Callithrix jacchus: one gene and its partners. The protein of the gene in region 1 purifies or fractionates together with the protein of each later gene. This does not show direct contact. Links are inferred from orthologs where the notes say so. Each region holds a gene or a part of one and is shown on either strand. Other genes may lie near its edges.

Region 1 (3,291 bases):
ACAAAACCCTCTTCATTTTCTCCACATGATGATTCTATGGGGCAAGGGGCCAGGTCTGCTCATTCTCATTTGAAATTTAAGTTTAAATTCCAATCTTGTTAGAATGTAGCCCAACTCCTTTCCTTTCTCAGGAGAGTGGCCGAGAGTTCTCAGGTCTGCCTCCAAATGAGCATCACCTAGGGATCTGAAACCACTCAGGCCTGGGTTCCACCTTAAACCAACAAAATCTGCGTCTTTCAGGTGGCTGACGTTGTCGTCGTTCTGTAAATAAAGTTTGAATGGTCACAGCCACGTCTGACCGTTTGCATACTGTCTACAGCTGCTTTCCCAAGAGACCACGTATCCTGGAAGCTTAAAATATGGACAAACTGGCCCTTTACTGAAAAAGCTTGATCTAAGTCATTAAGAGACTCAGTCTTCAATTTCCCTTCAAGCACCTGGAGGCAGTATAATGCGTCTTACCTTCCTTTTGGTGTTGCAGAAGATGACCGCCTGAGTGATGGTCAGTGTGTCATAAAGGTCACACAGAGTATCAAATTTCCACTCTTCTCTCTCCACTGCCACGAAAAACTGCTTGATGCCTTCCAGAGTCAATTCATCACTGAAGGACAAAGACAAATCCTGTCACACACTAGGACTGAGGGCAGGCCAGGCTCTAGGGAGACCCCGGTGGAGAAGGTCACACCCTGATACCTGGCGCAGACCCAGCCCTGTCCCCCATCCTGCCTCCATTCTATGCCCTACTCAACATTTCACAATGTGCACCACGTGAAATGATTCTAACTAAAACATGATAAGTAAATACCATCACCCAATGTTTAAATTTGGGATTACTGGTTCAAAGCAGAATGAGTATTATAAAAACTGGTTTTCTGTTTGGTTTTGTTTGAGACAGGGTCTGTTGCCTTGGCTGAAGTGCAGTGGCACGATCACAGCTCACTGTAGCCTCAACCTCCTGGCCTCAATTGATCCTCCCACCTCAGCCTTCTGAGTAGCTTCGACTACAGGCGTGAACCACCAGACCTGGCTAACTTTTTATTATTTGTAGAGATGGCGTCTCCCTATACTGCCCAAGATAGTATTTGGTTTTTCAAAACACAAATTTTAAAAGAACTTGCATGCTTTAAATTCCTTTACCTCCGGCAGTGTGGCCTGAGGCCCAGATTTTGATACAAGCCTCAGCAATACAGCAAGACCCTGGCTACAAAAGGTTTTTGAAATTATGACATAAAACTCTTTATACATGCGGGCCAGTGTTTAGTAACACTTGACACAAGGGGCGCCTACCGTTTCACCAAGATGCGGATTGGGTCGGTCATGAACTTGTTTGTCATCTCCAGAATCTCGTGTGGCAGCGTGGCACTGATGAGCACCACCTGTGTGGCTGGAGGCAGGTACCTGTACACGTCGTAAATCTGCTCTTTGAAACCTGGGACAGGGAGCAGGACAGGTGAGGGATGTTTAGGATGGCACAGCCAGAAATGGAACGTGCACACCACGTGTTCCCACTGGGTTAGAGGCAGAGTTGTGATAAGGTGCGGCTGACAGGGAAGCTCATCTTTACAGAACCGGGACACACCCGCAAATTCTCTGTCCCTACTCCCCACCCACCGGAGCAGGACAGAGGAAACCTGGTTTCCCTTTGATGCTTCTTCAATCTGAAGTGCTCTAGGGATCGAGAAACCCACCCCAAGGGTCCTAGATGCCAAAAAATGAAAACCGACAGACAGGCTGGCCTGAGTCACCCTCAGTTCGGATGCCTCCACCTGCCACTGTCCTGTGAGGACTGCCATCCACCATGACCACACGTGCAACATTTCAAAGAGAATCCAAACATCCTGATTGTTACAGAGCATCTCCCAGTGAACAACGCTGCCTACCTATCCACACTGTTCAACACGACACAGGTGGAAATTAGTGCAGCAGCCGGCATACCTGCACCCTGCACCCTCCGCCAGGTCTGGGCAGAGCTGGGCAGAGCTGGGCAGAGGAGGAGGGAGCCAGGAGCAAGCAGGGGCCCGGCCTCCTCACCACAGGCCCAGTTAATGAACTTGAGGCTCTCACTCCATACATCATATGGAGCCAGAGAATCTGCATTTCTCAAAGTCTCCAGGTGACAAGGCTGCTTCTGGCCTGCTGCCCTCACCGTGAAAATCCCTGCCCTCAGGGCCGGCCAGAAGCACAAGGAGCCACCCACAACCCAGGGCTTCCTCAGCCACCACAGAAACAGTGAGGTCACCGAAACTTTAACCTCACTGAGGAGCAGAGGGGTCCAATAAGCAGCCCCAGACAGAGGACGGGAGGGATGAGAGGTACTAAGAGCACAGCCCCCCAGGATCCCAAAGAACTGCTGGAACAAGAGGCCGGGACCCGAGGATGGGTGGCCCTGGGGAATGCTGACAGCACAGCACTTCCTCACGGCCCACCGGTGCCTTGTGAAGACCCTGGGGGGCCCACTACGGATCCTCACACTGAACTCAGGTCATGCATTTCCTAATCACTGAGAGAGCAACTGCTATCACCTAGAAGACTGCATAGAGCTCATGTCAGAACACCTATGAAAACCCAAGGAAGTATACATCCGAATCCTACCAAGTTATCTTTGTCAAGACAGTCTCGCTCTGTCGCCTCCACCTCCCAGGTTCCAGCAATGCTCCTGCCCCAGCCTCCCAGGTAGCTGGAATTACAGGCATTCGCCACCACACCCAAGTAGTTTTTATATTTTTAGTAGAGACAGGCTTTCGCCACGTTGGCCAAGCTGATCTCAAACTCCTGACCTCAGGTGATCCGCCCGCCTCGGCCTCCCAATGTGCTAGGATTACCGGTGTGGGCCACCATACCAGCTTCCAATTTATCTTAAAGAATGAAAATCACCTACACAGCCAAGAAATGAATCATGGAATATCCATCCCTCCAGTAGAATACCTCATTGCCATTAAACAGGCCACAGAATACTTTTCTTATCATGGACAGATACATTTTTATAAAAGCAGATTATCAAACCAAACACAGGATTCCATGTGTATTAACCACAGCTATGTACAAAAAGTCTGGACACACAGAGTTTTAGGCAAACTTCCAAACTGGGTTTTTCCCCTGCTCGCACACCAACACAACAGTCGTCAACACAGGAGGCGACTTCTGAGTGAGCAGGGATGCAGGCGCACGGTGCCCTCCAGTGAGTGCGACACCTCCTACCGGAGCCGACGCACACACTAGTGTGTACATGTGTATGCACCATAACACCACGCACATATCTTGCGATGCTTTTATTTTTTTAAGACAGGCTTG
Region 2 (4,664 bases), on another chromosome or scaffold:
AGACAGAAAGCAGATGAGTGGTTGCCAGGGGCTGGGGACGGGGGTCGGAGGAGCTAAAGGGTTTATTTTTGCAGTGACAAAAATGGTCTAAAGTTTATTATGGTAATGGCTGCACAACACTGAATACACTAACTAAAAGCTGCCGAATTGTCCACTTTAAATGAGTAAACTGTATGGTGTGGTACGTGAATTCTATTTCAATAAAGCTGTTAAGCAAAAGTGACTGCAGGGCACTTGACAGCTGACAGCCACTGACCCAGTAAAATAAAAATCGAAAAGCAGAATGAGGGGCTGAGTCCTTCCAGGAGCCCCCAACTCACAGCTAGTTACACCGCCAACTCCTGAGGACAAAGAGGGAAAGTCTCCCCAAATGTCTTGCAAACACTGCCATCAATTCGCACAAGAGAGAACTTTCTTCTGCTTTCCCTTGAATGATATTCACAGACTTCCCTGCCCACAAATTCCAGTCTTCCCCTTGTGATACAAAGGGGTGCCACTGCCATTCCCCACAAACACATCCAAAATTACAGGCAACAGGTGGGTGGGGCATCTGGATCAATTAAAAACAGTGCAGGCCAAACCCTCTGATGTCACAGGAACTGCTGCGAGCTCAACTGCAATGGTTACCTCCAGGGAAGCATTTTAATGCTCTCATTTTGCACAGCCCAGTGTACTCAGGTGCAGGGAAAAAAAATCAGTTGTTTCAACTGAAAGAGAAGGACATGCCCCACAATCCCAAACAGAATGCCAGAAACAAAAGCAGAACTAAAGGCTGCCCCAAGTTTGCTGTTTCATGCTGGCTACAGTTAGAAGGATTCACAAGAAAATGATTACCTTTCACACCCAGCCAACCCCGCACCCATGCTGTCACAGCTCATGGCTCACTGCTCCCTGCTCCAGAGATCTTTACCGAGTCTCCCCAACAGGCTGGATGTCAGGTTACAGACAGCCTATACAGTTGACTAACACATGGATCTAGGTTTCCTTCAGTAAGAACAAAAATCTAACCGCCACCCCCATTGCACAGCTGCGAAGCAGAAAGGTCTACAGGGCATGAAAACTACAAGGTGGTGGGGCCTCCACAGCTCAGGCTCCCTTCTTCAGGGGAACTCTCCTCTTTCCCTCCCTCCCTTCACCAAATGTAAACAAAACAAAAAACACCCATATGTGCACACCTGTTCTCCTCACGCTGCACCTCTATGCAGGCCTTCTATTTTAAGAGATACAGGGTTAGAATGAGTCAAATGTTTTTTTTGCTTCCATTAGGGGCTAAAAGAAAGCCCAAGTGGGTGGTCTACCCACGGGAGTGACTCAACCGACTACCACGTAAGCCCCCCTCAACCAAGGACAGGGTCTGAGCTCACTCTGCTTGAGCAAGGGGTGGTTTCCCCAGCTCTGAAACACAAGCATATACCAAGGGACACTTCTGCCAAGGTGAGCCTTGTAGCTACTCCCTGGCAGAGCATTCAGGAAAATAAACCTGAGTGAGGTGTCAGGCACAAAGCAAGCCTAGGGTGAAAGCAACCTGAGATCCAGAGCACGATGAGGACATTCACCAGACCCCGGCCAACACCCTCACTCCAAAGCCCTCTCCCACCCCAGGTGGGCAGCACCCAGAACCAGGAAATGCATGCCTGACACTTTTCCCAAATCAAGCCTCCATTTAAAATACCCAAATAACCTTCTCTAAACATCCACATCATTAAAAAGTTTCCAAAGTGGCAGACTCGTTTATATAAAATCCACTATTGCTGTCTTATTGGAGGAACAAAACTCAAACTCAACTTTTTCAAGGCAAGAGTTGTGGAGTTATGTAACAGGTTGGTTTCAGCAACAGGCGATTCAAGGAAAAAAAACAAAACACAACCTGCCTCCCGAATGATCTTAATACCCAGCCAATGTGTGCTCCTCTGCGGGAGGCAAAAATTCTTCTCGGCTCCAGGAGCCTCAACCCTCCACTGGCCAGCGCCCCTACGCCTGGGGAAATTCGAACCTCGGCTCCTTGACCGTGAAAGCGGGGCGGGGGCGTGCCCAGACGGCTGCCACCGCAGATGGGAGGTGGGACAGGGAGGCCGGACTCGCCACTGGGGAGACGGGACAGATCCCCCCAGACCGAGCCAGAAACAGGCTTAGGGCAGGTCACCCTGGATACTCCCGGAAGGGGACTGAAAGAAATCACTCAAGATCCGGCGTGAGGAACACCCGGCCCAGGCCGTAAGGGAACTAGGGGTAGACTACAGAGACCTGCGGAAGAGGGTCCAGGGCAGGGCAGCCCTAGCCCGGCTGGAGTGGAAGAACCTGGATAAGTCAGCTGGCCAGGGGAGTGAGGGGGGGAAGCGGGGCAGGTTACTCCAGGCCACACTGGTTGTGGAACACAAGGCAGGTCAGCTCTAGCCCAGGCGGAGGAACAAACCCAGCCGAAGTAAAAGGAACAGGGGCAGGTTAGCTCGGACCCGGACGGAGGGGAGGACTCGAGGCAAGTCGGCCCGGCCCGGGAGTTGGGGTCCGAAGGAACTCAGCCCCGTACCGGCTGGAGCGGGGGCCCGGGGCAAGTTGGGCCAGGCCCCGGAAGAGAGCAGAACCTGGGGCAGGTAAGCTCAGGCCCAGACGGAATAGGGGACCCGGGGCAGGTCGGCCCAGGCCAGGCCGCGGTGTAGAACTCCAGGTAAGCCCCGGCCCGGCCTGGCCCGAGGCGGGGTCAGGGCAAGTCCCAGGAGCCGAAGCCGGGCCCGGGCTTCCGGCGCCGCCATGTGCCGCTCACCTGCGCGTCGAGCTGTCCCGCCGCAGCGCCCGCGCCCGCGCCGCCCGGGCCTCCAGCGCCGCCACCGCCCGGGCCGCCAGGGCCGCCGGGGGGCGTCTGCGTCTGGCTAGGAAGAGTGAAGTCGGTGAACTCGAACTCGGAGCCCTGAGTGTCGGCGCCGAGCAGCTCGGCCTCCTCCGTGTCCAGGAAAGTGAGGGTCTGCGAGCTGGGCCCGTACGCCTCCACGCTCATGGTGCCGCCGGGTAGGGCCCTCTGACCGGCTCCGCACCGCACTCGAGCCCGCCGCCGCGCTGAGGCCTAGGCCGCAGGCTTCGGGTCGCCGCCGCTGTAGCCCCCGCGCGTCCGGAACGGACAGAAACGCCCGCCCCGGCACCAGCCGGGCCGAGAGCTACGAGCGCCGAGACGCCGCTGCCACCGCTGAGCCCCTCCGCGCCGCCGCTTCCCTCGAAGCCGTCCGCTGCTCGCAGCCCTGAGCACGAACGGCCGCCACCGCCGCCGTCGCCGTGCGCGTGCGCGAGCCCGACGCCGGCGGAAGCGCGCGCGCTCTTCGCGGACGCAGCCAACCTGCGTTCGGGCGCCGGGAGCCAAGCGGCAAGACGGTACGCGCACGCGCACGCGCAGAGGGCGGGGCTTTCAACCGCCTGCGCGTCGGCAGCTCCAGGACTTTGGCCCTGCCCCAACTGCTAATCAGGGACGCCCGGCGGCGGGCGGTGTGGACTGGGCGGTCTGCATCTGTGGGCGGTGCGACAGTGTTTCGGTTTAATTGAGCGCTAGCCGAATACCTTACGTAGGTTGTCTCGGAACGCCCAACTGGAGAGGCTGGGCAAGGACAGTGCCCTCCCACCCCGGGCAAAAGCTGCTTAGAACGCAGTTTCCGCATCGGTAAAATAGGGGAATATCTCGCACACAGTAGATGCTCCCTGTGCAATGGTTTAATAAGAGAATGGGGCTCGGCACGGTGGTCACATCTATAATCCCAACACTCGGAGGTTGAGGCGGGAGAACTGCTTGAGCCCAGGAGTTCGGGACCAGCCTGGTTGACAGAGTGAGACTCCATCTCTACAAAAAAATACAAAAATTAGCCAAGCTTGGTGGTTCGCTCCTGTAGTCCCAGCTACTAGGGAGGCTGAGGTAGGAGGATTGCTTGAGCCTGGGAGATTGAGCCTGCAGTGAGCCGCGATCGCACCACTGCACTCCAGCCTGGCAGCAGAGCGAAACCCTGTCTCAAAAATAAATAAAAATAAATGAATGGGGATAGTCTTACGTTCTGGGCCTGGCACGTGGAAATGATGGTTGCTGCTGTTCCTGATTTCTCTGCCGCTGTTACTAACCAATTACAATTTTTGCTATGATTATTTAGCGGACGTATACAGCAAAACAATTGGAAGCATATGGTCTGTGGTGGAATTTAGACCTGACAACTTATTAGCTGTATGAAATTATACAAGTGACTTAACCTCTCTGAGCCTAGAGTTTCTGCTGCCAGTAAGGTGGGCTAGTAAGGCTGGGCAAGATGGCTATTTCCCGAAATCCCAGCGCTTTAGAAGGTAGAGGCAAGATGATCACTTGAGCCCAGTAGTTTGAGGCGAGCTATGATTGTGCCACTGCACTCCGGCCTGGGTGACAGAGATCCTGTGTGTGTGTGTGAATATATATACATATATATTATTATTTATTTATTTATTTTTTGAGACGGAGTTTCGCTCTTGTTACCCAGGCTGGAGTGCAATGGCGCCATCTCGGCTCACCACAACCTCCGCCTCCTGGGTTCAGGCAATTTTCCTGCCTCAGCCTCCTGAGTAGCTGGGATTACAGGCACGCGCCACCATGCCCAGCTAATTTTTTGTATTTTTAGTAGAGACGGGGTTTCACCATGTTGATCAGGATGGTCCCGATCTCCTGA
Region 3 (3,903 bases), on another chromosome or scaffold:
TATACTTAAGAATAAAATAATGCCATGTAGATAATATGTTTTAAACTTAGTATATTGTGGGCATCTTTCCATTCATGTGTGACTTTTTAATGGCTACATGGTGTTTGAATAGGATTTTCTCTCTCTCCATATTAATGGAAATAATCTACTTGGTTTAAAAAAACTGTAAGGCTTGTAATACCCAAAATTATTTAGTTTGTTTCATATAAGAATTGGTGTGTAAAGTGGGCAATGGTTGTATGGTAGGTATCAGATGTAGTAGAAGAAACACTACAGCTGATACTCTGGGGTATAAGTAAACATGACAGTGGAATTCACTAAAATATAGAGCTTTAATCCTCACCACCCAGTATAGTGCCTGGAATAAAATAGTCTCTCAAATATTTGTTGAATAAATGAAAGAAATCTGTTTCCTAGCCCTGTGTGTGTACACGTTTGGTTATTTTCCAGGGTCCTGTTATGCCAGGGAGTCATTCAGTGGAAAGATTTGTAATAGAAGAGAATCTTCACTGCATCATTAAGTCCCACTGGAAGGAAAGGAAGACTTGGTAAGATTCTTTTCATGGTGCTTTTAGAATGGAGAAAAAGCAGCAATTTTGGTGATTCAGTAAGAGCAAAGCGTATGTTCAGAGTGTTAGAAAATCTTATTCTCCTAACTCCCTGTCTTGCTAAGACCAATTTCTAAAAACACTTGATTTACTTTGAGGCTCTTCACCTTCATGTAGTACTTTTTAAGGTGCTTTATAGTAATAAGCATATAATGTCAGTTTTTTGCTGTGGATATTTATATGCTATGGAGAGCTTGAATGGCAAGTTATTTGCGGTTTGGATACCAATGGTTTTGCTCTGTTTTCTAGCATTTAGACATCCAAGCTTTGGAGTGTTTTTTTAAATAAAATTTTCTTAAACTTTGGAAAGTTTGGTTTAGATTTTAAGGTAGAAAAATTACAGTATTTTGACAGTGATCTACCCTATTAAAACTTCTTTTTTTCCGTGAAATGGAGTTTTACTCTTGTTGCCCAGGTTGGAGTGCAGTGGCGCAATCTTGGCTCACTGCAACCTCCACCTTCCAGGTTTAAGTGATTCTTCTGCCTCAGTCTCCCGAGTAGCTGGGATTACAGGCATATGCCACCATGCCTGGCTAATTTTGTATTTTTAGTAGAGACGGGGTTTCTCCATGTTGGTCAGGCTGATCTCGAACTCTGTACCTCAGATGATTCCCCCTGCCTCGGCCTACCAAAGTGCTGGGATTACAAGCGTGAGCCACTGCACCTGGCCTAAAACTTGTTTAAGTTAGTACATTTGAATGTGCTTCCATAGATCTTTCAAGAAATTTTGGATGCATTAAATATTTTTCTGTGATAGATAAAATAATTTATGCCATAGTTAAATGAAGTAACTGAAATCTAGGACATTTCAAAAAAGATTTTTCTTTGCTTATATCTAAACACATTGCTTTTGAAACTGCTTATTTGACTTTTCATGTGCCTTTGTATACTTATTAAACTTAAATTACACTTTTTATAGTGCTGCACAGTTAGTGAGCTATCCAGGGAAGAACAAGATCCCCTTGAACTACCACATAGTTGAGGTATGCATTCCATGTGGAGCTTGTTTCTCAGTTTTGGAATCTCTCTGTTGACTTTAAAGTATAATCTACTCTTGGCTTATTTATTTTTTGCTACTTGTCAGACATTGAAAATTAACAGAGGAGTGAGGAAATTGCTGTCAGTTTTGGTGCTGTTTAGCCATGTTAGTAAAGAGAAAAAAGGTTGAAACCAATAGCCAAATGGAATTTTGAGTTGCATATAAATTATTATATAGTATGTCCTCATTCATAGATAGTTGTTGTGGATACTGTAAGTTACCTCTAGCTCTGTCAATACGTTGTCCACTTAACAGACATATAAGTGGCTTAAATACTTTATCATTTTAGACACATATCTTTAATTGTGTTTGGCCTCTTATTACTAGCATGCAGTTGGTTAGTATATTATTTCCTGTAACACAAAGTAGAGATGAATCATTATTTATTCTTAGAAATCTAAAGAGCCAAGCAGTTTAGAAATAGAGTAGCAACACTTTTGACTTCATATTAACGCATACAAAAGTTGATGTTAATATACAGTTGAATACTTTATAGAGATGTATATTTAAAAAAGAAAGTGTTCACTTGACATGAGTCAAACTGTTAACTGCATTATTTCTTTTTTTGGTTTTTGGTTGATTTATTTATTTATTTTTTGAGACGAAGTCTTGCTCTGTTGCCCAGGCTAGAGTACAGTGGCATGGTCTCAGCTCACTGCAACCTCCGCCTCCTAGGTTCAAGCAATTCTTCTGCCTGAGCTTCCCAAGCAGCTGGGGCTACAGGTGTGTATCACCACGCCTGGCTAAGTTTTGTATTTTTAGTAGAGACAGGGTTTCACCATATTGGCCAGGCTGGTCTCTTGACCTCGTGATCCGCCCGCCCCGGCCTCCCAAAGTGCTGGTATTACAGGTGTGAGCCACAACGCCCGGCCCACTGCATTTTTAAAATATATATATATTAAAGTATTCATGGGCCAGGCACGGTGGCTCATGCCTATAATCCTAGCAATTTGGGAAGCTGAAGCGGGCTGATAATTTGAGCTCAAGAGTTCAAGACCAGCCTGGGCAACATGACGAGACCCTGTCTCCACTAAAAATACAAAAAAAAAAAAAAAAAAAAGGCCAGGCGTGGTAGTGTGCATTTGTAGTCCCAGCAACTTGGGAGGTTGAGGTGGGAGGATCACTTGAGCCCAGGAGGTCAAGGCTGCAGTGAGCTGAAATCGTATCTCTGTACTCCATCTTGGGTGACAGAGTGAGACTCCGTCTCAAAATAAATAAATTAGCATTCATGAAAGAGAGAGCATAGATAGGATGTATTAAGAGTCTCATCCTCTACTGACTGAGCTAACTGGGCCTGATAGGATATATTAAGATACATATTTTATTAATAATGCACTTTTGTGCTTTTTTAAAAAAGTACTGTGTATTTCCCTTCTTTACAAAACTTGTGTATACTTAATGCTATGAACTTGGCTCATTTCAGTGACATGCCTGAAATGCAAAATGTCATTTTTAAATCTGCAAAATTTATAGACATTCATTAGACCCAAGTGTAGAAGTGTGAGAGATGGGTAAGAGTAAAGGATGCAGACTAGGACTTTAGAATTCTAGGCAGATGGTCCACCAATTATACAGAGAGGGTGGGAAGGAAGCTTCTGAATAAGAGGCATAGCAAGGAAGTCTTGGATTGCCAGAAAGATCTGAGGATCTATTTCAAATAACAGTGTGGAATGACTTGATTATCTTGTTTCCTGTCCCCAGAATCTAACAGGATTTTTTTTTTTTTTTTTTGAGATAGGGTCTCGCTCTGTCACCCAGGCTGAAGTGCAGTAGCACGATCTCAGCTTATTGCAACCTCTGCCTCCTGGGTTCAAGCAATTCTCCTGCCTCAGCCTCCCAAGTTGCAGGAACTATAGGAGCCCACCACCACACATGGCTAATTTTTGTATTTTTTGTAGAGACAGGGTTTCATCATGCTTTCCAACTTGTCTTGAACTCCTGACCTTAAGTAATCTGCCTGCCTTGGCCTCCCAAAGTGCTGGGATTACAGGCGTGAGCCACTACACCTGGCTGAAGAGTTCTTATTACTTACAGGAACGAAACTGTCATGGAACTTTTGAGCCCCTCAAAAAGCTGTATTTCCTTGTCTCAACTGTGATAACTTTCAGAGTTGGAATTTAATTGCATAGTTTTCTGGGAGGAGTATAGATCAAATAAACATTAGTGTCATATGTTTTTATTTGATCAAATTGTAGAGAGTAGAAGTTTTCATTACAGTTTCCGTTTTAGATTTTTGTGTTTGAAAGAGCATAATTT
Region 4 (3,903 bases), on another chromosome or scaffold:
AATATGTATTACTTATGTGATAAAGAAAATACAAAGTAAGAAATTGTGAGAGGGGAAGAAAGAGGAATAATGCAGGAGAGAAGACAGGAGAGTTTGTAAGAATCTTGTTTGTTTTATCCTAAGTAACCAGGAGCTCATTTCAAATCCATGAGTCTTACTGCTCCTCAGGGCTGAAGGCTAAAGAAAAAAAGACTCAAGCTAATGACCACTCTGCTTCCAACTATGAGACCCACTCTATCTTCTTACACAATTGTGGAGATTTCTATTTACAATCACAGTTGTTTGCTCTGTCAAAGAGAAGGAATAAAATGTGTATGGAGGAAAAGACCAGACACAGACTTCATATAAGAAATCATTTCTGGCCGGGCGCGGTGGCTCAAGCCTGTAATCCCAGCACTTTGGGAGGCCGAGGCAGGTGGATCACGAGGTCAACAGATCGAGACCATCCTGGTCAACATGGTGAAACCCCATCTCTACTAAAAATACAAAAACTTTGCTGGGCATGGTGGCGCGTGCCTGTAATCCCAGCTACTCAGGAGGCTGAGGCGGGAGAATTGCCTGAACCCAGGAGGCGGAGGTTGCGGTGAGCCAAGATTGCGCCATTGCACTCCAGCCTGGGTAACAAGAGCGAAACTCCGTCTAAAAAAAAAAAAAAGAAATCATTTCTTCATGTCTTTATCCAAAAAAGGATATCAGGGGGAAATCAGGTAAGGGGAGTATATTCAGCAAACAAATATTTCCTTTCTTTCAACAGGTGAAAGTTTAATATATAAACATTTTTATATTAGCCTCTCTCTCACCTCTTCATATTATTCTAAATAAGCAAGGTTTTAGTAGTAAAGGCATCAAATTTTCATTCAGAGATAGCAGAGCTGAATACAGAAAATGGCAACTGTAACAACTGTCAATCAAGCCATTAATACCCATGAAACAAAAACATCCTGGTGGTGTTTATTTGATAAAGGTCTAGCACACTGAACATGGGGGACAGAGGTATTTAAAGCATGTCCTTTTCATAACACTTAATCTAAACATGTAACTCCTAATCATATACTTTAGTCGTTTACAAATACCAATGGGGAAAATAAGTTCATTATTTGTCCATGATACACAGCACCTAACAAATAACTAAATCTCAAGACAGAAATATTCCAGCTCAATCATACCTTTTTCAGCTCTTCTTTGGAGAACTTTTCATAAGGATTATGTTCCAGATAGGTAATGTGCTCTGAATTATTGGTACCAAACGCTACAGTTTTGCCTTTTTTACTTCCAGATGGTTCATAAGGGTGATGTAGAAGGTCATAATGAAGCATTGTGATCATTTCTTTTTTGATTAGTTCTTCACTTTTCTGTAAATCTGTTAGAGGTGGCTCTACATTTAAGGGTCTTAGAATAGTTTCATTTACCTAAAAATTTAAAACAAATACAATTACCAAACATATCACTGCAATATATTAACATTAGTACCTGTTACAGCATGAATTAAATAGCAGTTTTACATTTTCGAAAGCAATTTCTATTTTTTTACTTTAAATTCTTATTAGTACTAGTGAAACACTTTAAAGACTGGATTTGAGAACTACCTTGCTATATTCCAGAAAGTAGATGAAATTTTGTTTTACAGTCTTTATGAATGATGTAAAAAGCAGCAATCATATAAAAAGAAACTTAAAACTTCCTAAACCAGAAATTCTAACACTTACTTCTGATGGTCTTGGCAGATCTTTCTGGACAGCTTTATGCATTCGTTTCATTTCCTTTACACGCTCTGCATCTCGTATGGCCTAAAAAATGATTTTTATATCCTTTATTGCAGCTATCGAGTATTTAACATCTCTCAATAAAGCTAAAAACACTTTGGTATGTAAGATCACATATGTTCAAGAGCTAAAGTTTAGAAATTAGTTTAAGTTTGTAGAAAGGCAATGCTAAGGCCACAAAAATGAATGTTTATTCATTCTCATTATAATAGAAACTCAGAGTCCCCACTGTCTACGAGAGCATTCTCCAAATTTGCATGAATCCATCCATCACATAACAAACTTTTCTCATCCAAATGGAAAATGTAAACTCCAAAGAGACTCCCCGCAAAACAACTCTTTCTTCCCTTTCACCCCAAATTACTGACTTTTAATTCAAAAAGCTAGCCAAAAAATGTATTGTTTCTTGATTGTTATGAATAATGTGGGGTAACACATTAAAATTTCATGCCATTTCTGAAGGAGTAAATGGAACTCAAAGTAGCTGAGACCTAAACACAAAAAGTATCATCCTCTGTTCCCCAATGAAAAGCACATTCACATGGGTCCCCTCTAAAATATTATTTCCACTGATGTCATTCTCACTCCAATCCCCTGAGATTAAAGGCTCCTAAAATCCTCCAGCAATGGACTGCAGCAAGAATTACTGAAAGGGGTCATATAATACCAGTACTAGTTTAGGAGTTACCACTTACCCACCATGAGACCTGAGAAAGTTGAGACCATGAGACCTGAATTCATCTGAGCTTATTGAGTATTCCTTATCAGAAATATCTGGCACAAGAGTATCTTAGATTTCTGATTTTTTTCAGATTCTGCAACATCTGCATTATACTAACCAGTTCAGCACCTCTAATTCAAAAAGCTTCAATGAGCATTTCTTTTGAGTGTCATGTCAGCCCTTAAAAAATTTTGAATTTTGGAGTATTTCAGATGTTGGATTTTTGGATTAGCAATGTTCAATCTGTAATACCAATCCTATTTATATCACTGTGCTATTATGTGCAAATGAGAAAATAATTATATATAAGATATATTACTACAAAGTGTTACTAATATTATTCTGACATACTCTAAATTTCCAACTCCAGTTTAGATAGAGGTCTTACTATATTGCCTGGAAAGGATCCTCCCACCTCAGCCTCCCAAGTACCAAGTAGCTGGGACTACAGGCTCCTACCATTGCACTACCCAGGAACCAAGATGTATTTGTTTTTAAAGCTAACCAATAACATCTTTTCTTTGCTAGACTGAAGTAATGTCAAAAAGACTTCCTATGTGTATTTTAGAGAAGCATAATGAATTTGACAGAATGTATTTAAATTTCCATATACATTTTTAAGAATGTCCATCAAAATACTGTGAGTATATTAATTATGTAAATGAGTATTCCTTATTAATGACATGTTATTTACTTTCAAAATTTTTTTCAATATTAAAAAGAAATAGGTAAAGATCTTGAGACATTTAACGGCTATTCTTCATTCTTCAAGCCTGCTGACACATTCAGCCAAGCTCACTTCTTTCAATGCAGTCACCCACCTGCTTTCGAGCATCCACATCGGCAGCATCTTCAATGTAAGTATCATCTATTTCACGTTCTTCCAGCTCCTTCTCAGCATTTTCTGGTAGAACAATTTCAAAATCATTCTTGGGGGCAGGAAGGCCCAGCAACCCTAAACGGAGATGTTCTCGAGATTCTCTTTCCTGTAGAAAAGAAGTACTCCTTCTCAATTCATACACATCAAATATTCAACCAGTATTTTATGAGTCTCTTAGAAACTGATAGCACAACAGGGTGACTCTAGTCAAAATAACTACCTTTCAAAATAACTAAGAGTATAATTGGATGGCTTCTAATACAAAGGTTAAATGCTTGAGGCGATGAATACTCCACTTTCCATGACATGATTAGTACAAATGCATGCCTATATCAACATACCTCATATATCCCATAAATATATACAGCTACTATGTATCTACAAAAATTAAAAATTATAAGAAGAGAAAGGTCTCAAAAAAATCAGCCTAGTATTAATTCTAGAAAAATAATCCTGACTTCAGAACTAAGATAAATCTTTGCTTTGTTTTCTATTCTTCCTTATTCCCAACATTCAGACCAATCGAAAACTTTCACCTG
Region 5 (4,634 bases), about 28 Mb from region 1:
CTTAATCATCATAGAGACTAACTGGAAGAAGCATCTTATATTTACAGTTCAACTGATAATGCCAACACTTGTTACTGTACAGTGTATTACAGGTTTCGTGGTTGCAAGAAGTTATGTAATTTAAGTTTACTGGCATTGCTACCCACCTAATCTAAAACTAAATCTAATGCTCCCATTTGCAATTTAATTTGTAAATTAAAGTGTTTTAAACATATGAATCAATTATGAATATTAAAGGGGAAGGTGAGACCTAAGTATTCCCAACTAGATTATCTACACCAATACATTGGAACTCTATTATTTTGCTTTCATTTTGTCTTAAAAAAATGAAATAGCAACGCTCTATCAGTCACACAGAGGACATGCAGATTTAGCAGTATTGATATTATACTCTATCTTGTTGGATTTAAAGACACCCTCTACCCACATGTACACCAACAGCAGGTCACACATTAACAGTTGTAACTAAGCACTGCGACAAATTAGCCAGTTCTTCCCACATTAGTCCCTATTATAACAAAAATGGGGGGAAGGGAGCAAAATAAGTTGCTACAAAATGGGCAACATAATTTTGCCACAATTGCCAAGGTTTAAAAGGTAAAGCAATTGTAGCTAAAGGTAACTGAATAAAACATTCAAGTGTTTTAAGGAAAATGTATATAATCATTTTTACCCCCCTGCCTTTTAGTATAAGGTCAATACTGCCAATTTCATCTGTGACAATAGCACTTGGAGTCATACCATTGCCTCCATTATTGATCTGATCCTCCTCAATCCTCCTTTTGACAATCCTAAAATGATTGAAATGTGCTCCACAATCCTTAATCCAAAGCATTCTTAATCCATCTCTTCAGATATGTCTACAGAAAGACACATGAAAAGCAAGATAAACATAAGAACTTCCCCAGGTAAGATAACCATAAACATCCCCAACATCCCAGTTCACACAAATCAGGGCAAAATAGACATTTACACAATATCACAGTCTGAAGAGTATGGAGTTAACTAAATTTAAACAATCCTGTCTATGACATCACTTAAAATACAATTTATCGAAGACACGAGGGGAATGTAGATGTTAGGAGCAAAGGGATATTACAAGAATGCAATTCAACACTTTAGCCCATTCTGAACAAAACAGTTTGAATTAAAAAATGAAAAGATTGTACTGAATAAAGGAAAACTGTATACAACATGGGTTCTACAAAAAGTGTCACCAATCATCTTATGTACGAGAGCGAGATCTGCTATGACGGGGAGAATAGCGTGGTGATCCTCTGCTTCTCCTTGGGGAGTAACTGCGACTCCTGCTGTTGCTTCTGCTACGGCTTCTGCTACGACTACGGCTTCGAGATCGAGATCTTCCATAACTTGGACTTCTGGGCCCATCAACTTTAACCCGGATGTAGGCAGTTTCTCCCTATTGGATAGACAGAACTTTCCATTGAAAGATCTAAGCTTTCACCTAGCTTCAGGCATGCTGAATGAATACAATGTAACTAAAACCAGAAATCTGGCAATTTACTTGGACACCCTTGCCTGAATCCTTACCTTCAAATTCCACTGTTAAGACCACTGTATCCAATTCTGGTCAAAAAAAAGAATAAGCATATAACCTACCTCATGGGATCTAAACTTAGTGTTATCCAGTTTTCGAACTGCATAGGTCATATCTTCTTTCCGTACAAACTCCACGACACCAGTGCCATCTCGGTAAACATCAGCATAACATACATCACCTGCTTCACGCATGTGATCCTTTAAATCCTGCCAACTTCCACTTGGAGGCAGTCCTGAAAAAGCGATTTTTTTTCTTAGTATCAATTATCTTAAATTTCACGTTAAGCTGATAAGGTACATTAGGACAAAGAGTACTTTAAAATACTTAATAGTTGTACTTAAGTGATACCAGGTAAAGAGCTGGTAAGATTCTGGAATCCAGAGTCCAAAATTATTTGTAACGGATCTTCGTATCTAGTACCGCAACCTAATTTGGTAAATCACCACAGCAGCAATCCTCGTTTATTAAATTCACCCAAAAACTAAAGCAATTTAAGACCTAGCATGAAAAATTTGCAATTGTTAAACCGGTCACGCAAGAGAAAATTTTTAAGTAGTTTCCGTCCCTTCACATCAACCACACAACCGGTAGACTTACCAGAGACAACCACTCTGTTTTCAGACCGCCTGGATGGGGGGCCATAGCGACCTCGGGGAGCTCCGCCACCTCCACCCCCGCCGCCTCCTCGGCCTGTTCCACGGCCGCTTCGAGGAAACTCCACCCGCAGACGATATCCATCGTAATCATAGCCGTCGCGACCATACACCGCGTCTTCCGCGTCCCTGCGGGATCGTAGACAGTAAAAGGCATGAGAAAGACCAGGAGGAGAAGATCGCTCAGTCGGGAACCAGCGAACCCCCCGCACATGCGCACCCAACGTGGAAGAGCCCACATGCGCCGCATAATGGGAATGACCCCTCCCCCACCCAGAAACACGCCAGGCTCCCAGCCACTACACCAGCCCTCAGCGCCTCAGTTTCCCGCTCCAGCCTGCGAATGGGCTCCGGGGACGTCCAAGGCGAGGCGCCAGAGAAGCCACACCAACTCAGCTCCTCACTCGACTCCTGCATGGGCGATACAGTCTCGCCCCATCCTCTCTAAGAGCCCCCGCCTTCCCGTTCTCTATATTAAGGCCTTGGAGTCTTCCCCGACCACTCGGACCTATTTCCTCAAGGCTGCAAGCCCCATGCCGCCTCACCGCGGGTCCTCGAACTCAACGAAGGCGAAGGGCGGTCCCCCGCGGCGATTCTTGAGATCGATGTCGCGGATAGCGCCGTATTTGTAGAACACGTCCTCAATGTCCTTGGTTCGGATGTCTGGAGGTAAGTTACCCACGTAAATGCGGCAATCGTTGTTCCCTGCGGGGCCACGAATCACACCACCTCCCGACATGGCGGCGACGAAAAACGTGGACTCGAGAACGGGCCTTCCCACCAAGCCTAGCGCACGGCAGAGCAAGCCCGCAGCGGCACCACGTCTCCCGCGGCCCCTCCAAAATGGCGCCTTTATCAGTTCGGCGCACGGATATGGGGGGGGGGGGAGACAGAGGAAGAGAAGCGGAAGGAAACAGCGATTCGATCCCAACACGCACGCGCTGCGAAGACTACGTTCAACGTACGCGCGCGCACGCACGCGCGACGTCACCCTCCGCACGAAGGGGGAAAAAAAGTCCCCCGCGTTCCCGGCTTGGGGTGGTTTGCGAATAGAGTGGCCGTTTGGTAAAAGTTAAATAAAGAACTCTCTCTAAAGGAGCTAGTCTTCCAGGTCGGGTCTTGAAGGACAGTCAGTTTCCCCAGGAATGAGGATCTCTGAAAGCAACTCGGCGCCTTGAAAGGACTTGGTGAAACCTAGCCTAGAGCCTTGTCCCACCATGCTCTGCGGCGATAACGGCCTTTGGCGGGAAGGAGTCTCGGGGGCGGGGCCAAAGGGGGAGGGACCGGGCGGTTGCTCCGGAAACCCAGGCATCCTTGTAGAGTGCGTCTAGTTCAGAGCTGAGGTGCCATTGGAGAGCTGGGGCGTTGGTTTGTCTTCCCTCTCCTCCTGCGAACAGGGCGTGGCTCCTTAGACAATGAGATTTGTCTAATTTAGCAAAACCGATTTCGATTCCTAAATAAATCCTCTTCACTAAGTACCGTTCCACCTTCTGGTCAGAACTTTGCATAGCTTAGTTCAGCACTCCTTGTGCTTAGTCGCGGTGGGTAGGTCGTACTAGCTATCCGGAAGGGGTGAAAACACCGTACCGCCTCTGGGACCCACACCTCTGTATCTCTTGTTAGTCGCCTATCCGTGGGACTGGCGCAAAAGATTTGCAAATTTGTTTCCGTTGTTTCCTTTCAAATAAAGAGAAGGAAGAAGGGGTGCGTGTGTGCAGTTTTCCCTAAAAGTTACTGATATACCAGGTTTTGAAACTACCAGTCCTCTCAGGTAATAAAATGGAGCGAAATGGATGTGAGAACCGTAACCACTAGAGACCGCGGTTGCTACTCAGGACTGTGATCTACTTGCCTGCAGTCTTGGGAGATAATATTTTACATTTTTTTCCGACGTCTAAAATCTAGATTTTTTATGTTAAATCCAGGGATTTTTAAGGTAATGAATTCAAATTAAAATCAGGCTGGGCGTGGTAGCTCACGCCAGCACTTTGATGGGCGGGTCACATTGAGGTCAGTAGTTCAAGACCAGCTTGGCCAACATGGTGAAAACCAATCGCGGTGGCTCACGCCTGTAATCCCAGCACTTTGGGAGGCCGAGGCGGGTGGATCACGAGGTCAAGAGATCGAGACCATCCTAGTCAACATGGTGAAACCCCGTCTCTACTAAAAAATACAAAAAATGAGCTGGGCATGGTGGCACGTGCCTGTAATCCTACCTACTCGGGAGGCTGAGGCAGGAGAATTGCCTGAACCCAGGAGGCAGAGGTTGCAGTGAGCCGAGATCGCGCCATTGCACTCCAGCCTGGGTAACAATAGAGAAACTCCGTCTCAAAAAATAAATAAATAAATAAATAAAAATAAAAAGCCAGGTGTGGTGGCGGGCGCTTGTAATCCCAGCAGTTTGGGAGGCTGAGGCAGGC
Region 6 (3,903 bases), on another chromosome or scaffold:
GAACTTTTAATGGTAATGGAGTAGTGCTTAATATGTAAAGAAGGAAAGAAGCAGTGTAGAACTGCACATGCAGTGTCACCTCAACTGTATGGAGAAATGAAGGAAGTAGCTTGAGATACACATAGCAGATATCTCTGTGTAATAATGTTAAGGATAGTTAAAAAATGACTTTGCTCTCTTCCTGTTTCGTAGTAGTTACTGTCTGTTTTTGTAACCCACGGAAAAGAAACATGTATACACACAAGAGTGTGAAAAGGTATATATAAATTTGAAATGGAACACTAGAAATTTAAATAAGGAATATTCTATTTTAGAACTTAATAGATTTGATTATAACTGAGAATAAAAAATATTATTTTAACAGTGATTAAAATTGTGGTCTTACTCACTCTTTCTTTTTAAAGACACTCCTGGGCATGGAAGTGGATGGGCTGAGACTCCTCGAACAGATCGAGGTGGAGATTCTATTGGTGAAACACCGACTCCTGGAGCCAGTAAAAGAAAATCACGGTGGGATGAAACACCAGCTAGTCAGATGGGTGGAAGCACTCCAGTTCTGACCCCTGGAAAAACACCAATTGGCACACCAGCCATGAACATGGCTACCCCTACTCCAGGTAGAAACTCTCTCATTGAAAATAATTGTTTTTTCCTCTACAAATTATTTAATTTTTTCTTTATGGTATTCTGTGTGCTATTAATGTCAATTACTAGCTAGAATAAGGAGATAAAAAAATAAGTCTTGGTTTGCATTTATAATATAAAAGCAACTAAATGTTAGGGTTGGTCTTAATGCTCTTTTATCTCAAAGATATATGTAATAATACAGTGTTGCACTATAGATTGTATAAAAATTTGCTTTTCTTGGTAGGTCACATAATGAGTATGACTCCTGAACAGCTTCAGGCTTGGCGGTGGGAAAGAGAAATTGATGAGAGAAATCGCCCACTTTCTGATGAAGAATTAGATGCAATGTTCCCAGAAGGATATAAGGTAGTACATCAAATATGAATGAGGTTGTATTTAGGATATGCATTTATTTTAAATAGTAAAAAAAAATTGATCAAGGTTGCATTGGCTTTGCCCAAATTTAGTATTGTCATTCCATTCTCTTAGGTATTTCCAAGTATGTTTCAGTTCCAAAGAGAGATGAAAAGAAATGAACAACAAGAAATTAATTTTTGAAAGAAATCTCAAGGACTATTGGTTAGACTTTGAGAACTGCCGCTGCTTCAGTTTTCCATCAGTCCCAGGAATAAACTCCTTTAGATTGTGGTTTTTTTTTCTTGGTGTTTTACCAAGATTTTGTGTCCTTAAGTTTATGGATTATCAGTGGACACAAAGAATATTCTTGTTTTTTTTGGTGGTGGTGGTGGTTTTTTTTTTTTTTAGATGGAGTCTCACTCTGTTGCCCAGGCTGGAGTGCAGTGGCATAGTCTCTGCTGCCTGGGTTCCAGTCGTTCTCTTGCGTCCACCTCCTGAGTAGCTGGGATTATAGGCGTGTGCCACCATGTCCAGCTGATTTTTATATTTTTAGTAGAGATGGGGTTTTGCCATGTTAGCCAGGCTGGTCTTGAACTCCTGACCTCAGGTGATCTGCCCTTCTCAGCCTCCCAAAGTGCTGGGATTACAGACGTGAGCCACCATGCCCAGCGTTCTTTTTGCCATATCAACTTGAAATTTATTTTGAACTATAAAATTTTCTAGGTAGCTGACACTTAGGGAGTATTTGTTAGTCTAAAGGTAGTCTGTGGTCGTATAGCTGAGATTATAACCAGAGAAACCAGATGACTTTGTAAATCATCTGATGGCCTTTACAGAGCTTTTTCTGTTAATGACTGTTGATTTTTAACAGTTTGTGTGTGTTTTTTTTTTTTTTGGTTTTGTTTTGTTTTGTTTTAGAGACAGGGTCTCACTCTGTTGCCCATACTGGAGAGCAGTGGCATTGACATAGCTCATTGTAGCATCGAACTCCTGGGCTCAAATTATCCTCCTGCCTCAGCCTCCTGAGTTAGCTGCGGCTACAGGCATGCACCTCCACACCTGGCTAATTTTAATTTTTTTTTGTAGCGATGGAATCTCAGTGTGTTGGCTAGGTTGGTCTCAAACTCCTAGGCTCAAACTGTCCTCTCACTTTGGCCTCCTGAAGTGCTGGGATTATAGGCATGAGCCACTGTCCCCAGACTTGTTTTGTTTTTGATCCCCTGTTATTTTTGCTAAGTATGTGTTTCAAGTTTGCATGAATTTTTGCTTAAAAGCTTTTTGTAGACTCCACATAATGCTGTGGGTATAGATATAACCTACTGTTGACTGCCTGAGCTTCTTTCTCAGTCATAGTCATTGATTTCCTTAGTGTCACTAGGAGGAAAAGTCTCCCTTAGTGTGAATCCTCCTAAAAAGCAACATCCTTACTAATGAATATAAAAATATAGGAGACCTTTAAATTCTTAATGGCGAGTGATTTCTGTGGACTTGAAACTGATTTTTCTAGGCTTCACATCTATAGAGTATCCACTTTATTCAGAATGCTTAGTGGTCTGTGCTGGTGCAGACATTAACTAGCAACGAAAAATATCTGTATTTTGCAGATATTTTATATATATCAAATTATATAAAATAGAGATGGGGTCTCGCCTTGTTGTCCAGGCTGTTCTCAAACTCCTGGGCTCAAGTGTTCCTCCCATCTCAGCCTCCTAAAGTGCTGGGATTACAGGCATGAGCCACCACACCTGGCCTGACCAGAAGTTGTAATTTTTTTTTTAAGTCTGTTACCAGCTTAAAAAAAAAATTATTTGTGATTTTTAGCCAATAGTTTTTGAAATTTTACTGGTTTTGCAAAAGGTTTAATTAGGTGGTATATTTTACAGGGCTTTGGTAAACATTTTGGTTTTAGTTTTTATGAGTTTTACCTTAAAAGATTTGTTTTTAGAGTGCAGAAATTTATGTGATATTTTAATACTAAAATATAGCTCTTTATATGTTGTATACACCGTATGAGCTTATTTCCAGTTATATAAATACTTATTAAACGTTATTTGCTTTACTAGAGCATTTTTTGGAATTGCTGACTCAGATTTTATTTTCAAATTTTTAATAATTTGACATTTTGACCCACAACATGTTTGAACGTGATTAGTGTTTTCTAAGCTCTTCTCTTGTATTTCCTCAGTTCCCTATACAGCTGATATAATCAACAGATGAGAAGCATGTATTTTAAGTTTCTAATTACATTAGAAAAGCAAGATAGGTGTTGTCTCCAAGCAAATAAAAACCTTCTAACTAATAAACTGTAAAATATTTTAAGTGCAAATGTTTTTCAAGTTAAGATAATTCTAAAATGTCTTATAACTTTTATTAGGTACTTCCTCCTCCAGCTGGTTATGTTCCTATTCGAACTCCAGCTCGAAAGCTGACAGCTACTCCGACACCTTTGGGTGGTATGACTGGTTTTCACATGCAAACTGAAGATCGAACTATGAAAAGTGTTAATGACCAGCCATCTGGAAATCTTCCATTTTTAAAACCTGATGATATTCAGTACTTTGATAAATTACTGGTAAGTATTGCTAGCAGAAATAAACTATTACATTGTGTTCCAGAATTATAAATCATAACATTTCAATTTGCCTTAACATTTGTTTTCTTTTTACTATAGGTTGATGTTGATGAATCTACACTTAGTCCAGAAGAGCAAAAAGAGAGAAAAATAATGAAGTTACTTTTAAAAATTAAGAATGGAACACCACCAATGAGAAAGGTAAGTCTCAGTTTGTTAAGTTGTCATGTTTGTTGCTTATGTAATTAAAAACAAATTTTTGTAGTTTTTGTAGAGACAGGGTTTTGCCAAATTGCCCAGGCTGGTTTCAAGTGATCCTCCTGCCTCGGCCTACCTCCCAAAGTGCT
Region 7 (4,642 bases), on another chromosome or scaffold:
AGGGAGGAAGACTGCTTGGCCCACAGGTCGAGGTCACAGTGACAGCTACGATTGTGCTACTGCACTCCAGCCTGGGCAACAGAGTTAGGCCCTGTCTTAAAAAAAAAAATCAGAAATTTAGCTAGGAGCTTCAAATGACAGGACATTTCTATATACAATGGATTTTCTAATCATGGGTCCACTAACTAGCTGGATCATAGTCTTAGTTTGTATCCCAGACCCTCTAAAATGAGGGATAGGAGTCCAGGTACCTCGTTCCATGGCAGGCAGTAGTTTTTTTTATTTTTGAGACAGGTTCTCGCTATGTTGTCCAGGCTCATCTCTTTGGCTCATGCGATCCTCCTGCCTCTGGAGTGGCTGGGATCAGACGCAACTGCCACCACACCCTGCTCCTAGGCAGTAGTCTTAATGCCTGATGGTGGGGGGTTGGAGAAGGAAGGCATCCAACGTCAGGATAAATGCTGCAGAGCTGTGTTAAGGACTTAAGCCCAGCAGTCAAATGCCTCTGCCCACATCCTACTCTGCAAGGCTTTGGGCAACTTAAGCAGCAGCCTCTGTTTCTGTTTCAGTGGCTCTTGTTTGTAATCCCAGCACTTTGGGAGGCTGAGGCAGGAGGATCAGTTGGGCTCGAGTTTGAGACCAGCCGAGGCAACACAATGAGACTACCCCATCTCTGCTTCCTCATGTGAATGTGGTTTTAAGGAGATGACACAAAAACACACACACAGAATGCTATTAGCAAGTCGCAGCACAGAATAAATACTCATTTCATAAAGTATGTGTTTATTATTACCATAGGCCTACAGTCCCCAGTATTCTTCATCCATCTTGCCTGAGAAGTATCACACTCATGCCTATTAATCAGCTCACACATTTAATCAAAGGATTTTGGCAGCTGTAGGGTGGTCTTTTTATCCATATCGTCCCTGGAATTAAGTGTCCTGCTATACCCGTGCAGATTCAGCAGCATCTGTCAAGAGTTTCAATCCCATTTGCAGAGGAAAGGCTCTGTGGCTTCGGCCGGTGGCTCTCCATAGGTGCTGTGACTGGACCCAGCCCATCTTCACCTCTGTTAGGCTTCGGGGTCTTTCTCCACACTGTGCCTTGTCAAATCACAAGACTTCAACGGAGACGGCGGTCTGGCCTAGGCTCTTCTGAGTGGGATATCCGCAGGCCAAAAATCGGAGTCAGGATTCGAGGCCGTGCGCAGTGCCCGGAATGACCCCTCAACGCCGAGGCCAGAATAGAGCCCAGAAGCGGCCTCAGCCCCGCGCAGCCCAGGCTTAAATGTTTGCGCCCGGGCCCCTCTGGCTACCTGGTGGTGGCCCTGAGCGGCCCCGGAGGCCGCGGCGTAGCTCCTGGGTGAAAGCGTCTTTGAATCGCTCAACGCGGCGGCCCAGGGAGCCCGCGGGCCCAGCCGCGAGGTCCCGCAGGCGGCGGGCCGCGTCTTGGCCCCGCAGCTGGGCCTGGAGCAGTGCGAAGGCTGTGAGCTGCGCCGCACGTCGGATAGGCCACGACTCCGACAGACGATCCACTAGCTGCGGGCTGTGCAGCAAGGCGGCCAGCAGCCGTCGGAGCACCATCCTCTCCCGGCGCCCGAAAACCGCAGCGCGCCGCCCTTACCTTCTGCTCCGCGGGCCCGACCCGACGCCTTTTGTGCTCGCGCAGCTTGATGACGATACTGTCGCCCGGATTGGGTCCAATAAGATGCGCGTCTCCGCCCGTCTCCGCTTCCGCCACGGCAGTCGCCGCCTCGTGTCGGGAGTTGTCGCATCCTCGTCCGCTTCTCTGCGCTATGTCGGGTGGCCTCCTGAAGGCGCTGCGCAGCGACTCCTACGTGGAGCTGAGCCAGTACCGGGACCAGCACTTCCGGGTGAGGGAGGCCCGGCCGCGAGAGGGGAAGGCCCTGGGCCAGAACGCTGAGAAACGGTTTGCTCTTGTCTCGTGTTGCATCCCATTATGCTGGAGTCCCCAAACGCCAAGTGGGGCCTCGGTGCCTGCTGGGGAGGCAGGGAATGGGTGCTGCAAGGGCGTTTGGATATCGATGAAGCCACTTTCTCTGGAAGATTGAGAATTTGAGGCTCGCTTTCCCGTTCCCTAGCAGGCACTCCCGGTACCCCGGCCAGCGCCGAGAGGTTTGAGTGGTAGTAGTAGTGGCTCCCGTTTCCACGGTTTGCCTCGGGAAGGTGACTACGTAACAAGGGGGAGGGGTGTCCTAACTCCCTGAGTCTGTAGAGGCGCCTTCCTGATGCAGACACGGGGCTTTTTACTTTGTTTTTTAAATCAGCGAAGCAGTGCCTTTCCGCGATTCGGGCCCCCTCACTGGGAGGGTGGTCCTACGGAAACTGTACGCGGTGCGTGGGAGACACGAGTGGAGTCCTCACTCCGCCCTCGGGGAACCTTCGGAGTAGGAGGTGGACCCGTCAAGCTGGGCACGTTGAGGGTGTAAAGATGGGAGAGTTGCTGCATTTCAGAAGAGGGAAATTTTTAGTCCCAACTATATCGAATACTGTATCACTATATTTTGTGAAAAAGGGGGAGGCTGCAGATATTCAGAGTAGGCTTTTCAGTATCAACAAAGGCAGGGATGGAATACGGTTGGGGCTAGCGGGACTCTTTAACCCAGTTATTTAGTAAATGTTTATTGAGTGCTGTTGCTAAAGCCTTGTACTAAACCCTAGAGGGAGAGGGAAGACAGATTTTTGCACTCGACGAGCTCATAATTCCCCGTAGTATGGATTATAAATGGAGGGAAGTAATCAGAATCTAAGCAGAAGTGAGTTAAGACAGAAGTAGTGAAGATTCAGAAAAGCGGGGGGAATCCCCATGTGACTGGGAAATGAAGGGCTGTACATAGCAGAGGGTAGGTGTGGAGAATGTGTGAAATGTGTTACTAAAGTAGGGAAAAGGAAATTTTGTTTGACAGCAAATTGGGGAAGCTCTTAAATTTATTCAGCCGAGCATGGTGGCTCACGCCTGTAATCCCAGAACTTGGGGAGTCAGAGGTGGCCAGATCATGACGTCAACAGATCGAGATCATCCTGGCCAACATGATGAAACCCCGTCTCTACTCAAAATACAAAAAATTAGCTGGGCGTGGTGGGGCGCGCCTGTAGTCCCAGCTACTCCGGAGGCTGAAAGGAGAATGCTTGAACCCAGGAGGCGGAGGTTGCAGTGACCTGAGATCGCGCCACTGCACTCCAGCTTGGGCAACACAGCGAGACTCCATCTCAAAAAAAAAAAATTTTTAAGGACGGGCACGACACGGTGGCGCACACGTGTAATCCCAGCACTTTGGGAGGCCAGGACAGGTGGATAACGAGGTCAGGAGTTCAAGACCAGCCCGGCCAAGATGGTGAAACCCCATCTCTACTAAAAATACAAAAATTAGCTGGGCATGGTGGCGGTTGCCTGTAATCCTGGCTACTTGGGAGGCTGGGGCAGGAGAGTCGCTTGGAACCCAGAAGGCGGTTGCAGTGAGTTGAGATCATGCCACTGCACTCCAGCCTGGGTGACAGAATGAGACTATGTCTTAAAATGATTTATTATTATTTATGCATTCCAGCCTGGGCGACAGAGTGAGAGTATGTCTCAAATAAAACAAGACTTATTTATTTTTTGAGACAGAGACTAGCTCTATTGCTTCGGCTGAAGTGCAGTGGCACAATCACGATTCTGCAGCCTCAGCATCCTAAGCCCAAGTGATCCTCCCACCTCAGCCTCTGGAGAAGCTGGGACCACAGGTTCGCACCACTACATATGGCTTTTTGTAGAGACAGGTCTCCCTGCAGTGTTCAGGCTAGTCTCAAACTCGGGGACTCAAGCAATCTACCTGCCTGGGCTTCCCAAAGTGTTGGGATTACAGATATGAACCACTGATCCCGGCTGGTCAGGTTTTTAGATGCTTTAGTGCCAGGCATGATTTGCACTTCTACCACTTTTACAGCTATTACTTCAGACAATTCCACATCCTAACCATTTTTAACTTCAATGTAAAATGAAAACTGAAAACTTTTGACTTTGTCTATTATTCATCTCTTCAGTCTAAAACCTAGAGCTTTATTTAGATAATAATACCATACTGTCATGTGGAATTTCTAGCATTCTGTGAATGGAATCCATATTCATATAGTTAAGTACTTGTACCGTAGTTATCTTAAACTGTAGGCTATTTATTTGGACCTTACTTATGTGTGAGGAAAGTAGAAAAAGAAGATGCCCCATCCATGTTAACAAATCAGTGACAGCAGTAAAATGACAGGAATTTACTTTGTCTAATGTCTCATAGTTCTAGAAACCTCATTTTAACATAGAATGACTATTGTTCTGTGGATTTTTTTTTTTTTTTTTTTGAGATGGAGTTTTGCTTCTGAGGCCCAGGCTGGAGTGCAATGGCGCCATCTCGGCTCATTGCAGCCTCCACCTCCCAGGTTTAAGCAATTCTCCTGCCTCAGCCTCCCAAGTAGCTGGGATTACAGGTGCCCACCACCATGCCCAGCTAATTTTTTTTGTATTTTTAGTAGAGATGGGGCATCACCATGTTGGCCAGGCTGGTCTTGAAGTCCTGACCTCAGGCAATCCACCCTCCTCCACCTCCCAAAGTACTGGGATTACAGATGTGAGCCACCGTGCCCGACCTCGA

Evidence for each region.
Region 2: the proteins of EIF4A3 (region 1) and UPF1 purify together in Homo sapiens (co-immunoprecipitation; 8 studies listed by BioGRID and IntAct, with this or other methods). This does not show direct contact. The link is inferred for Callithrix jacchus from reciprocal best matches to the Homo sapiens genes EIF4A3 and UPF1.
Region 3: the proteins of EIF4A3 (region 1) and NCBP1 purify together in Homo sapiens (co-immunoprecipitation; 3 studies listed by BioGRID and IntAct, with this or other methods). This does not show direct contact. The link is inferred for Callithrix jacchus from reciprocal best matches to the Homo sapiens genes EIF4A3 and NCBP1.
Region 4: the proteins of EIF4A3 (region 1) and CDC5L purify together in Homo sapiens (affinity purification with mass spectrometry; 3 studies listed by BioGRID and IntAct, with this or other methods). This does not show direct contact. The link is inferred for Callithrix jacchus from reciprocal best matches to the Homo sapiens genes EIF4A3 and CDC5L.
Region 5: the proteins of EIF4A3 (region 1) and SRSF1 fractionate together in Homo sapiens (co-fractionation; 4 studies listed by BioGRID and IntAct, with this or other methods). This does not show direct contact. The link is inferred for Callithrix jacchus from reciprocal best matches to the Homo sapiens genes EIF4A3 and SRSF1.
Region 6: the proteins of EIF4A3 (region 1) and SF3B1 purify together in Homo sapiens (co-immunoprecipitation; 3 studies listed by BioGRID and IntAct, with this or other methods). This does not show direct contact. The link is inferred for Callithrix jacchus from reciprocal best matches to the Homo sapiens genes EIF4A3 and SF3B1.
Region 7: the proteins of EIF4A3 (region 1) and NCBP2 purify together in Homo sapiens (co-immunoprecipitation; 3 studies listed by BioGRID and IntAct, with this or other methods). This does not show direct contact. The link is inferred for Callithrix jacchus from reciprocal best matches to the Homo sapiens genes EIF4A3 and NCBP2.

What each region holds. Positions count from the first base shown.
Region 1 is NC_133506.1:135,880,336-135,883,626, forward strand, and holds part of EIF4A3 (eukaryotic initiation factor 4A-III), read right to left. Parts: intron 1,430-3,291; coding exon 1,288-1,429; intron 602-1,287; coding exon 463-601; intron 1-462. UniProt on the Homo sapiens protein: ATP-dependent RNA helicase. Involved in pre-mRNA splicing as component of the spliceosome. Core component of the splicing-dependent multiprotein exon junction complex (EJC) deposited at splice junctions on mRNAs.
Region 2 is NC_133523.1:17,531,229-17,535,892, reverse strand, and holds the start of UPF1 (regulator of nonsense transcripts 1), read right to left. Parts: upstream 3,057-4,664; 5' UTR 3,004-3,056; coding exon of another isoform or gene 2,993-3,003; coding exon 2,762-2,992; intron 1-2,761. Other genes in the region: uncharacterized protein LOC144580760, read left to right, coding at 2,991-3,003, 3,057-3,448. UniProt on the Homo sapiens protein: RNA-dependent helicase required for nonsense-mediated decay (NMD) of aberrant mRNAs containing premature stop codons and modulates the expression level of normal mRNAs.
Region 3 is NC_133502.1:145,779,152-145,783,054, forward strand, and holds part of NCBP1 (nuclear cap-binding protein subunit 1), read left to right. Parts: intron 1-450; coding exon 451-548; intron 549-1,527; coding exon 1,528-1,591; intron 1,592-3,903. UniProt on the Homo sapiens protein: Component of the cap-binding complex (CBC), which binds cotranscriptionally to the 5'-cap of pre-mRNAs and is involved in various processes such as pre-mRNA splicing, translation regulation, nonsense-mediated mRNA decay, RNA-mediated gene silencing (RNAi) by microRNAs (miRNAs) and mRNA export.
Region 4 is NC_133505.1:52,881,394-52,885,296, reverse strand, and holds part of CDC5L (cell division cycle 5-like protein), read right to left. Parts: intron 3,471-3,903; coding exon 3,306-3,470; intron 1,788-3,305; coding exon 1,707-1,787; intron 1,410-1,706; coding exon 1,167-1,409; intron 1-1,166.
Region 5 is NC_133506.1:108,329,203-108,333,836, reverse strand, and holds the start of SRSF1 (serine/arginine-rich splicing factor 1), read right to left. Parts: upstream 3,077-4,634; 5' UTR 2,954-3,076; coding exon 2,760-2,953; exon of another isoform or gene 2,344-2,759; coding exon 2,159-2,343; exon of another isoform or gene 1,794-2,158; coding exon 1,621-1,793; exon of another isoform or gene 1,421-1,620; coding exon 1,234-1,420; exon of another isoform or gene 861-1,233; coding exon 838-860; coding exon of another isoform or gene 822-837; 3' UTR 1-821. UniProt on the Homo sapiens protein: Plays a role in preventing exon skipping, ensuring the accuracy of splicing and regulating alternative splicing.
Region 6 is NC_133507.1:118,370,378-118,374,280, reverse strand, and holds part of SF3B1 (splicing factor 3B subunit 1), read left to right. Parts: intron 1-404; coding exon 405-617; intron 618-871; coding exon 872-993; intron 994-3,358; coding exon 3,359-3,556; intron 3,557-3,655; coding exon 3,656-3,757; intron 3,758-3,903. UniProt on the Homo sapiens protein: Component of the 17S U2 SnRNP complex of the spliceosome, a large ribonucleoprotein complex that removes introns from transcribed pre-mRNAs.
Region 7 is NC_133516.1:25,206,753-25,211,394, forward strand, and holds the start of NCBP2 (nuclear cap-binding protein subunit 2), read left to right. Parts: upstream 1-1,743; 5' UTR 1,744-1,795; coding exon 1,796-1,873; exon of another isoform or gene 1,874-1,929; intron 1,930-4,642. Other genes in the region: protein NCBP2AS2, read right to left, coding at 1,284-1,583. UniProt on the Homo sapiens protein: Component of the cap-binding complex (CBC), which binds co-transcriptionally to the 5' cap of pre-mRNAs and is involved in various processes such as pre-mRNA splicing, translation regulation, nonsense-mediated mRNA decay, RNA-mediated gene silencing (RNAi) by microRNAs (miRNAs) and mRNA export.